Linked DNA regions of Saccharomyces cerevisiae S288C. Changing the gene in region 1 together with any one later gene gives a genetic interaction. Each region holds a gene or a part of one and is shown in the gene's direction. Other genes may lie near its edges.

Region 1 (5,446 bases):
ACTAAATAGACAAAACTACATGTAGAGTATCGTATTTCTATGGTAAAAGTTTACACCATCAAAAATTACCCCGCGAAGACTACGCAAATAAGGTTATACAAGTTAGTTGAGATGAAATAATCATCTCCACGTTCACGATTTAAGGCTAAATTGGAATGCGGCTAAAAAAGAGCGCAGTTACAAGAAAAAGCTACTATTTTATTATGCACGTGTGATAGCATTATCTTCAAGAATAAGCTCAAAAAAGAAAATGAGCTTAAAAAACCGCCTTTCCAGATAATTGAATGTAGCATATACCTATACATGCTTACCATGCCAAAAATATAACGGAACCACTACACATATCGGACCGTATTTTTATGGTTTATCAGTAAGGCCAACCATAAACACCTCAATGTTGGGGAGTCTGTCCTCGGCAATCAATGACGATGCCATTTCACCCTCATTCGAGTACTCGCTAACGTAAGAAAAAGGCACCCCGCAATGGGGTAGATCATACCCTAAAATGTTTCCTAGGTAGAAATAATAGTTACTAGGTAGGACGAAGGCAAGTACTACATAGCAGTACGGTTTCTGAGTCAGTAGTAACCCCTCAAACTTGCTCACACTTATCTTACCAAAAAATGGAGACGGACAATCAAATCTGAATTAAAAACACCGTCGCTTAACTGAATCAGAGAGAGAAGTTGAAACCAATGGTAGGAAATCAATCTAAAATAGAACACTTTAATTCTTAATAAAAAGAGGGGAACAACTTATTTTCTCCATTTGGCCTCGGCAACTTTCAGGGGGGCTTGAACGTATATACCGATCTACGTTGGAATTGACTGCTACTTCGTTCCACTAACCCAACTCAACAAATAAGCCTTGGAACCGCTGCAAGATTAGTCTATGTGACCGTGCCTTTTTTGCACTTTTAGAGAAACAGTGTTAAGAACTGTAATAACTGTTCAATTCTAAGCACTCAAACCGTGCTTGTACATATGCTTCAATGGCCTGCTCGATAGACCGATCACGTTTAATTTTTCTTTAATTTTGCCAAGGGAACGTTCTTTTCGTAGGCACCGCAATTTATTTCTAATGGATAAGTTCTGAATTTTGCTATGAATTAGTTAGTAGGGCCTACTAAAATGGCGTGGTATTTTTAAAGGGCCTTTACCAGCCACTCCTCAACAGAAAACCGTGCTCGCGTTGCAGAAATACGAGGTAGACACGCGCCTTAGGAACATAAAAATAAATATCTCGCGCTCACGGAAGGCAACCACTAACTCCTTTTCATCGAAAAGTGAGGTGTAGCTTACTAAAGCATTCCTCTTTATCCAAGTCGTATATTTTTCTTTATACTGCTAGTTCATTCTGAGCGGAGATTCCTGGCTAACTCTCCAATTGGAAATAAGGTAATAATGACTTTTCATGACGAATTGGGTGAAAATGCTTGGTGCTAGGCCCTGTGTTGTGGCTTTTTTCGGTAATAGTTTAATTTTCCAAAAAGGTTCCTGTGACTATCTTATCAAAGTAGCTTAGACCACGTCCTGCACGGTTTTGCAGACTGCTTAGGGGGTCTCTTGTTGTTATTAGCAGCGGAATATCTTTGTTTACTCATTAAAATGCCCCCCCGTTCGTTGCAAGGAACGCGCGCGCACAGAACTTGCGGATGCTTCCGCAGAAGTGCCCGTAGGAGATTTAAGCTAGCCCAGCGGTTAATCTACGCAGTTGCGTATTCGGAGTCCGCTCACACTTGCAAAAAGCATATAAAAAGCTTCATATTCATCTCATTAGTATCGGTTCTGCCATCCCATTATCTTAGGTTTATGCCTTTTCTGGTTCTCAAGTCAGTAACAACAAATACCCATCGTTGATTCTTTTTGGTAAGATCTCGCCTGTCAAAGAGATGTTCAATCGCTTTAATAAACTTCAAGCCGCTTTGGCTTTGGTCCTTTACTCCCAAAGTGCATTGGGCCAATATTATACCAACAGTTCCTCAATCGCTAGTAACAGCTCCACCGCCGTTTCGTCAACTTCATCAGGTTCCGTTTCCATCAGTAGTTCTATTGAGTTGACCTCATCTACTTCTGATGTCTCGAGCTCTCTCACTGAGTTAACGTCATCCTCCACCGAAGTCTCGAGCTCCATTGCTCCATCAACCTCGTCCTCTGAAGTCTCGAGCTCTATTACTTCATCAGGCTCTTCAGTCTCCGGCTCATCTTCTATTACTTCATCAGGCTCATCAGTCTCCAGTTCATCTTCTGCCACTGAATCAGGCTCATCCGCCTCCGGTTCATCCTCCGCCACTGAATCGGGCTCATCAGTCTCCGGTTCATCTACTTCCATTACATCAGGCTCATCCTCCGCCACTGAATCGGGCTCATCAGTCTCCGGTTCAACTTCTGCCACTGAATCAGGCTCATCCGCCTCCGGTTCATCTTCTGCCACTGAATCAGGCTCATCCGCCTCCGGTTCATCTTCTGCCACAGAATCAGGCTCATCAGTCTCCGGTTCATCTTCTGCCACAGAATCAGGCTCATCAGTCTCCGGTTCATCTTCTGCCACAGAATCAGGCTCCGCTTCTTCGGTTCCTAGCTCATCCGGTTCTGTCACAGAATCAGGCTCATCCTCATCAGCATCTGAATCATCTATCACACAATCTGGTACCGCTTCCGGTTCATCAGCCTCCAGCACGTCCGGTTCTGTTACACAATCTGGTTCCTCCGTTTCCGGTTCATCAGCTTCTTCTGCTCCAGGTATCTCGAGTTCAATTCCTCAATCAACCTCATCGGCTTCCACTGCCTCTGGTTCTATCACCTCCGGTACCTTAAGTTCTATTACCTCTTCGGCTTCTAGTGCAACTGCAACTGCTTCCAACTCTCTTTCTTCCAGCGATGGTACTATTTATTTGCCTTCTACAACCATCAGTGGTGACATCACACTCACCGGTTCAGTCATTGCAACTGAAGCTGTCGAAGTCGCTGCAGGTGGTAAGTTGACCCTACTTGATGGTGACAAATACGTTTTCTCTGCTGATTTCATAATCCATGGTGGCGTTTTCGTAGAAAAGTCTAAGCCAACTTACCCAGGTACCGAATTCGACATTTCTGGTGAAAACTTTGATGTATCTGGTACCTTTAACGCTGAAGAGCCTGCTGCTTCTTCCGCATCTGCCTACTCCTTCACTCCAGGCTCTTTCGATAACAGTGGTGATATTTCTTTGAGTCTATCAGAGTCCACAAAGGGCGAAGTCACATTCTCTCCCTACTCTAACTCTGGTGCTTTCTCTTTCTCAAATGCTATTCTCAATGGTGGTTCCGTCTCTGGTTTGCAGCGTAGAGCTGAATCAGGTTCTGTCAACAACGGTGAGATAAATCTTGAGAATGGCAGTACCTACGTCGTTGTCGAACCAGTTTCTGGAAGTGGTACAATCAACATCATCTCTGGCAACCTTTACTTGCACTATCCAGACACCTTTACTGGCCAAACTGTTGTATTCAAGGGTGAAGGTGTTCTTGCCGTTGACCCAACCGAAACCAACACTACTCCTATCCCTGTGGTTGGATACACTGGTGAAAACCAAATCGCCATTACAGCAGATGTCACTGCTCTTTCTTACGACAGTGCTACTGGTGTTTTAACTGCAACACAAGGCAACTCACAATTCTCCTTCTCTATTGGTACTGGGTTCTCCAGTTCTGGCTTCAACGTCTCCGAAGGAACATTTGCTGGTGCCTATGCTTATTATCTAAATTACGGAGGTGTTGTTGCTTCCAGCGCTACACCCTCATCCACATCTACCACATCAGGGGCTACCAACTCTACTTCCGGTTCCACTTCATTCGGTGCTTCCGTAACTGGTTCAACCGCTTCCACTTCATTCGGTGCTTCCGTGACTGGTTCAACGGCTTCCACCTTGATTTCCGGCTCCCCATCTGTTTATACCACAACATTAACATATGCAACAACCACAAGCACAGTAGTTGTCTCCTGTTCAGAAACAACTGATTCGAACGGTAACGTCTATACCATTACCACAACCGTACCATGTTCATCTACCACCGCCACTATCACTTCTTGCGATGAGACCGGATGTCATGTAACTACGTCTACCGGTACCGTCGCCACTGAAACCGTTTCTTCCAAATCATACACCACTGTTACCGTCACCCACTGTGACAACAATGGCTGTAACACCAAGACTGTCACTTCTGAATGTCCTGAAGAAACTTCAGCAACTACTACTTCTCCAAAATCATACACTACTGTTACCGTTACTCACTGTGACGACAACGGCTGTAACACTAAGACTGTCACCTCTGAGGCCCCTGAAGCCACAACCACTACTGTTTCTCCAAAGACATACACTACCGCTACTGTTACTCAGTGCGATGACAATGGATGTAGCACCAAGACTGTCACTTCTGAAGCTCCTAAAGAAACTTCAGAAACTTCAGAAACCAGTGCTGCCCCTAAGACATACACTACTGCCACTGTTACTCAATGTGATGACAATGGTTGTAACGTCAAGATAATCACCTCTCAAATACCTGAAGCTACTTCAACCGTCACCGCAACTAGTGCTTCTCCAAAGTCATACACTACTGTCACTTCTGAGGGTTCTAAAGCAACCTCATTGACTACTGCCATTTCCAAGGCTTCTAGTGCAATTTCCACATACTCCAAATCTGCAGCTCCAATAAAGACCTCTACTGGTATCATTGTCCAGTCCGAGGGTATTGCCGCAGGTTTGAATGCCAATACTTTGAATGCATTGGTCGGTATTTTCGTTCTTGCTTTCTTTAACTAATTTTTTTAACTGAGGAATTAAAAGTTTATTCCTCTGAAACGAGATAGGTTCTTAATATGCGTTTTATATACGCTTTGTGTAAACAGTTAAGTATTTTTTTAGCTTAATATTTGGATTTTTTTTATTTTTTTTATTCTTTTTGGATGAAATGGTTCCCTCTTCTGCCAATGAAGGGGAGACTAGGTTGATGTGTACACATCGTACACATTTTAAGGACACTTATTTCACTTATTGTCCACAGTAAAATCGTTCAGGCCATAATTAAATGCGAACTTAAGAGAACCTAAAAGTACCTCCCAACTTTTATAGTGGAGCTTCCGCTCTTTGGTCAGAAAAAAATCGAGTTCTGAACACTTGGCTTTATATTACAAATTTCTCCCTTCCAAGAAAGACAAGGGGTGCTTATCGCGACATGTCTCACAATAAACTTTATTATATTTATACTTTATTTATTAATAAGAGTTTCAAATAGGATTCTTGGAGAATTTTCAAAGCGTTTTTGCGTATAAGAAACTTTTCGGTTTGGCTCTTATCAGTTTACTGCCGATCTTTCTTCCTCACTGCTTGACCTGCCACTACGGAAGATCTTACCGACAATGATGTGAGCGGCGAGAACAAGGGAAATCTCGTAAGAATAGGAAACAACCTAAC
Region 2 (4,468 bases), on another chromosome or scaffold:
GTCGTTACGCTGCTCCCTGACTTAACAATCCCGTTAGGGTATCTACTTCAGAGCAGATTACAATATCAAGAATGTTGTTGGTAGGTATTTGTAAACTTGAATTAGAATCCAAAAAGCCTTTACTAGGAGCTATTTTTAATAGTGTTTATGTTTTTCTTCGAGTACTCTATGAGATGGAAAATTGTCGCCTACGAAAATTTAGTACCTTCTCTTTATCCCAGTGACAAGTTATGCATGCTTGTTATACGATGTTAAATCTTCACTTAAAATCCTCTGGAGATGTACCGATTCCGGTAGGTTTCACTCGAAATTTAGCATATTTCAGTTTGGTTTCCTAACACGACCAGTCGCAGGTGAGAGTCTTGGAATTATCCTTCAACACTGTGTGTTATTGTAGATCAGTAATTAAAGATCAGTGTAGTATTTTCAAATATTCTTTACTTCAGTAAGGACAGAATTTGTAGTGACATTTAATGAAGAATAACAAAGGGATATGGATGTCAGGCGACATTACTCGACGTAAATTACTCTCACGAAGGCAAAAATATAACCTAGCCATTGAGTCCTAACCTACTATTAGCGAGATCTTTCTCATTTCGGCTTTAGAGTGTTCATTTTAATACGATGGCCAAAATTAAAAAAATTCGGCCATCAGACCTTGTCGCTTTACTAAGAAGTTATACGGATGAAGATGAATTACTTGAATAAAGATCTTCACTCACTAAATGAAAACATCTGCAGCACGTGCTTGTTATGCTTAACTCCTTGTAAAAATAGTGTATTTCAAAAAATACGCAGTGACAGAGTAAAGATACCCTAACTTTTGTCCGTTGTCCTCCGGTTCCATCATTGCCAAACTAAAGTACTAAGACCATTATCGTGGGTAAGATCATACATTTAAATAAAATAAAAGATACGTAAGCACCTAGATTCCTGGGACAAGCAGCTCAAAATATTTGTTCCTCTTTCCTGTATGAACTGTCAATGCGTTGCTGCTTCGCTGCACGTATTAAGGATTTTGATGGAAGGTCCAACAAAGAAAAAGAAACGTGCGCTTTTAAAAAAAGAAGCTTTTCCTACCAAAAGTTCTTTGATCTGCTTATTCAACGTAGCATCTTATTCGCATACATTGGACTCATGTTTAAGGCATTCTAATCACACCAGTTTCCTTGCATATGAGCAAATATCTGTGCTTGCTGTTCTAACCATACGTACTACTACGTTGATTGGATTATAATGTCCTTTGGGTATTCTCCGATTACGTTGTCCCATTTTTCTTTTTTGCCTTGTTGCGAAGAGCGTTGTTCCGAAAACCGGGTGCACTTTTTGTTCACTTTATATATCCCACGAGGAGACTGCGCGAACATGATATGTTTGACCTGGCATAGTGCTATTGTTCATAAACAATAAGCCCCCTAAATACCTGCATGTACGAAGGTGTACGTACGGTCATTCGCATTTCCCTAGCATTACTTTCAGTACTGGACAGGTTATTTTTACCCCTCTAGTTTGCGACTACCACTAAATGGGCCATTTTTACGTGTCTACGACATATCGCAAGGGTTTTTTTCTTTTGTCTTATTCGAGTAATTATATAAGCGCGCGTAGTCATTTTTTTAGCGAGACCCTAGGGTCCTGTAGCAGTAATTTGAGGTTTTCATGGCTCGAACAACGACAAAATATTGAGGAATCTTGAGCCTTATTGGGGCGTAAATCACACAGGTGTTGAATGAGCTTGGAGCTTGTGCGGTTATGTATTAGATATGGGCAGTTTCCTTTAACGTTGGCGCCTCTTTCTTTCCTACCCGTGGGGTTGCTCTCGAAACTGATTAGGTCATGAGCATTTTTGCTGAGTCTTTTTAGGAAGCAGCATTTTTCTCAAACGAAAAAAAAAAAAACCAAAAAAAAAAATAAAGACAAAAAAACTATATAATGCTACTGGCCTTGAACTTGCTTGGTAGAAGCCTTCTTAATTGCACCCATTAGTTTAGCATCTACCACATCTTGATTCGATGCTCTTCATTTAGAAATACTTGTTTATATAAATATACTTCACACGGCATGAATTAATTGATAGGTAAGTAAGTTTCTTTTATCATAAGTCAAACAGTATCAGATATAAGAAGGGAAAAGGTAGATATAGAAACCTAATAAGACCCTTATTATTAAACATTCGTTAATCAAATTATGGGTAAAATTGCAGAGTTTCTCGGGAATCCAGGTGCTAGGCCTGACGTTCATCATAGAGCACCTACTGTTGACTGCAAACAGTACGAAGAATTCGGTGATTCTAACGATTACAAAAATGATGATGTGGTCAGAGTAGTCAGCCATAGCGATGAGAGTACTGATGACGAACTTTGTAATGTGAATTTAACAGAAACAGGGGCAATCTTCACGAGTAAAGGTTTTACCGGGTTAAGCAAAGGTTTCACAGATAAGACCCTGGATTTCCTGGTACGAGTGGCCGGTTCGCAGGCGGTTTTTTTTATTGTTTGGATCATCCTCATAATTTGGGTGGTTATTGGTATTGTTTATAACGCACCTTTCAATTGGCAAGTTGTTATGCAGGACGGACAGTCTATTCAAAGTTATGTTTGGGACACACTGTTGATGAGACAACAGTTGATGAGTACGCATGAACAAATTTTGATCTGCGGTAGATTGAAGTCGAGATTGGCTTCCTTCAAAAACTATCTAACAAGAAGCACCCCAGAGGAAGAAAAAGCAGACTGCACAGTTGAAGCTAATGAAGTCAGCTCTGTTGAAAATCATATAGACCCATCTGCCATTAACGGAGAACTGCCTGTGGAAAATTGGTACGACCGTTTATCTAACGTAGCAAGTAGGTATATGGGTTCAATTGCAGCAATGGTGATATTTTGGATAGGTATTTTCGTTTGGATTGGTTGCGGTGCTATCCCAAAAGATGCGGGCAACACTCCACCTTACACCGGAGAAACTACAGGTAGTAATCCAAGATTGAAAAAGTTCAGTGACGCTTGGCAGATGTATATTAACACTGCAGTTGCAGTTTCCCTTCTAATTTGCACTACTTTCTTACAAAATATAAGGGCTAGACATGATTATTTCACGGGGAGGTTTTTAGTTGATATCTTTGATATGGACGAGAAAATCGACTATCGTATAAGAAAGCATTTTAACGATTTTGAAACACCTCACCCAGTTGTTACTATTGAATCTAAAAAAAGGTCGACAGGGAGAAAGATGATTGATTGGTATGCTGATATTATTGGTACTGGTATTGGTGTCCTGATTGGTGTGGCAGTGTTCGCCACATGGATTGGTATTGGTTCGCCAATGAAGTGGGATGATAATTGGTGGTTGATTATCGGTACATACACAGGTTTAATTGGGTTTTTGGACGGTTTCGTTTTGAGAGAAGTGTACTTCCGAATCGTTCAACATGAAGAGAAAAATTATTCTGATGTGGCTAAAGAAGACCTTGAATTATTCCAAGAATTAGGTATTGAATGTCCCGAAGAATTTAGTGGTAAAGCTCCTGAAATTAACACTATTGGTTACAGAACATCCCAATATATTAATAGGATCTGCTCAACTCCATGGAGTGTTCTTGTATCCGTCATCATCATCATTGGTTTAATTTGTATTGCTTCCGGTTTGCGTTGGAGTACAACAGGTCAATTGATTGCTAACACGCCAACTATGATTATCGAAGAATTTTTCTTGCTAGTTTTGTTGCAAGCACATAATTGGGCCGATCGTCAAAGAAGAGTGGAGGTTACCGCTTTGTACGCACGTAGGCGCATACTTCTATCATACGTAGAAAAGCGTTTCCCAGAGGTTATGATGTTGGAAAAATAGCTTCATTGAACATTTTAGCATTAGTGGGAAGAATTCCTCATGTTACTTATGAGGGAGTTAATTTTCCTTAGGGATTTTAGGAATTTCTATACGGAGGTAGCGATCGACCTTAGAACTTTTATTTAGTTTGTACATATACCTCACCTGAGTTTTGCTTTTTTCTCTGGGAGCCTAAACCATTTAAAATGATATATAATAGATAATAAATCCAGGATAAAATGTGGCTAATTGATCTTTTTTCATTTTCAACTTGGTAATGACGTACTGGATACTTTCGACGCTCTTTTTTAGTCCCCGATCCCCGTCTTCCAGGACCTTGACGTGGAATTCCGATCACAGCCACTCTCGTCACGGCTCCGTTAAAATGAATGGTTTTCCGTTACATTTACTGGTCTTTTTATCTTTTTACAGTAAATGGGTGATATACTGTGACACAATTTGTGTCTCTACTGTGTGAACTTCCATTGCTGACTAAAGATTCCCCGCTCCGCTTATATGTCCGGTCCGTCCTTGACCGAAGATCACATTGCCAATTTTTCACATCTGGAAGCGATACGACAATATAGGAGAAAAAGAAAAGTGAAAGGCAAAAAAGCACCAACAGTTCTCGAGGTGAAGTGCC

What was found.
Region 2: mutations in HPF1 (region 1) and FET4 together harm fitness more than expected from each alone (negative genetic interaction), as found in Saccharomyces cerevisiae (one large-scale study listed by BioGRID).

The regions. Positions count from the first base shown.
Region 1 is NC_001147.6:28,052-33,497, reverse strand, and holds HPF1 (mannoprotein), read left to right. Parts: upstream 1-1,891; coding exon 1,892-4,795; downstream 4,796-5,446. UniProt on the Saccharomyces cerevisiae protein: Involved in cell wall organization and biosynthesis.
Region 2 is NC_001145.3:912,258-916,725, reverse strand, and holds FET4 (Fet4p), read left to right. Parts: upstream 1-2,187; coding exon 2,188-3,846; downstream 3,847-4,468. UniProt on the Saccharomyces cerevisiae protein: Required for Fe(2+) ion low affinity uptake.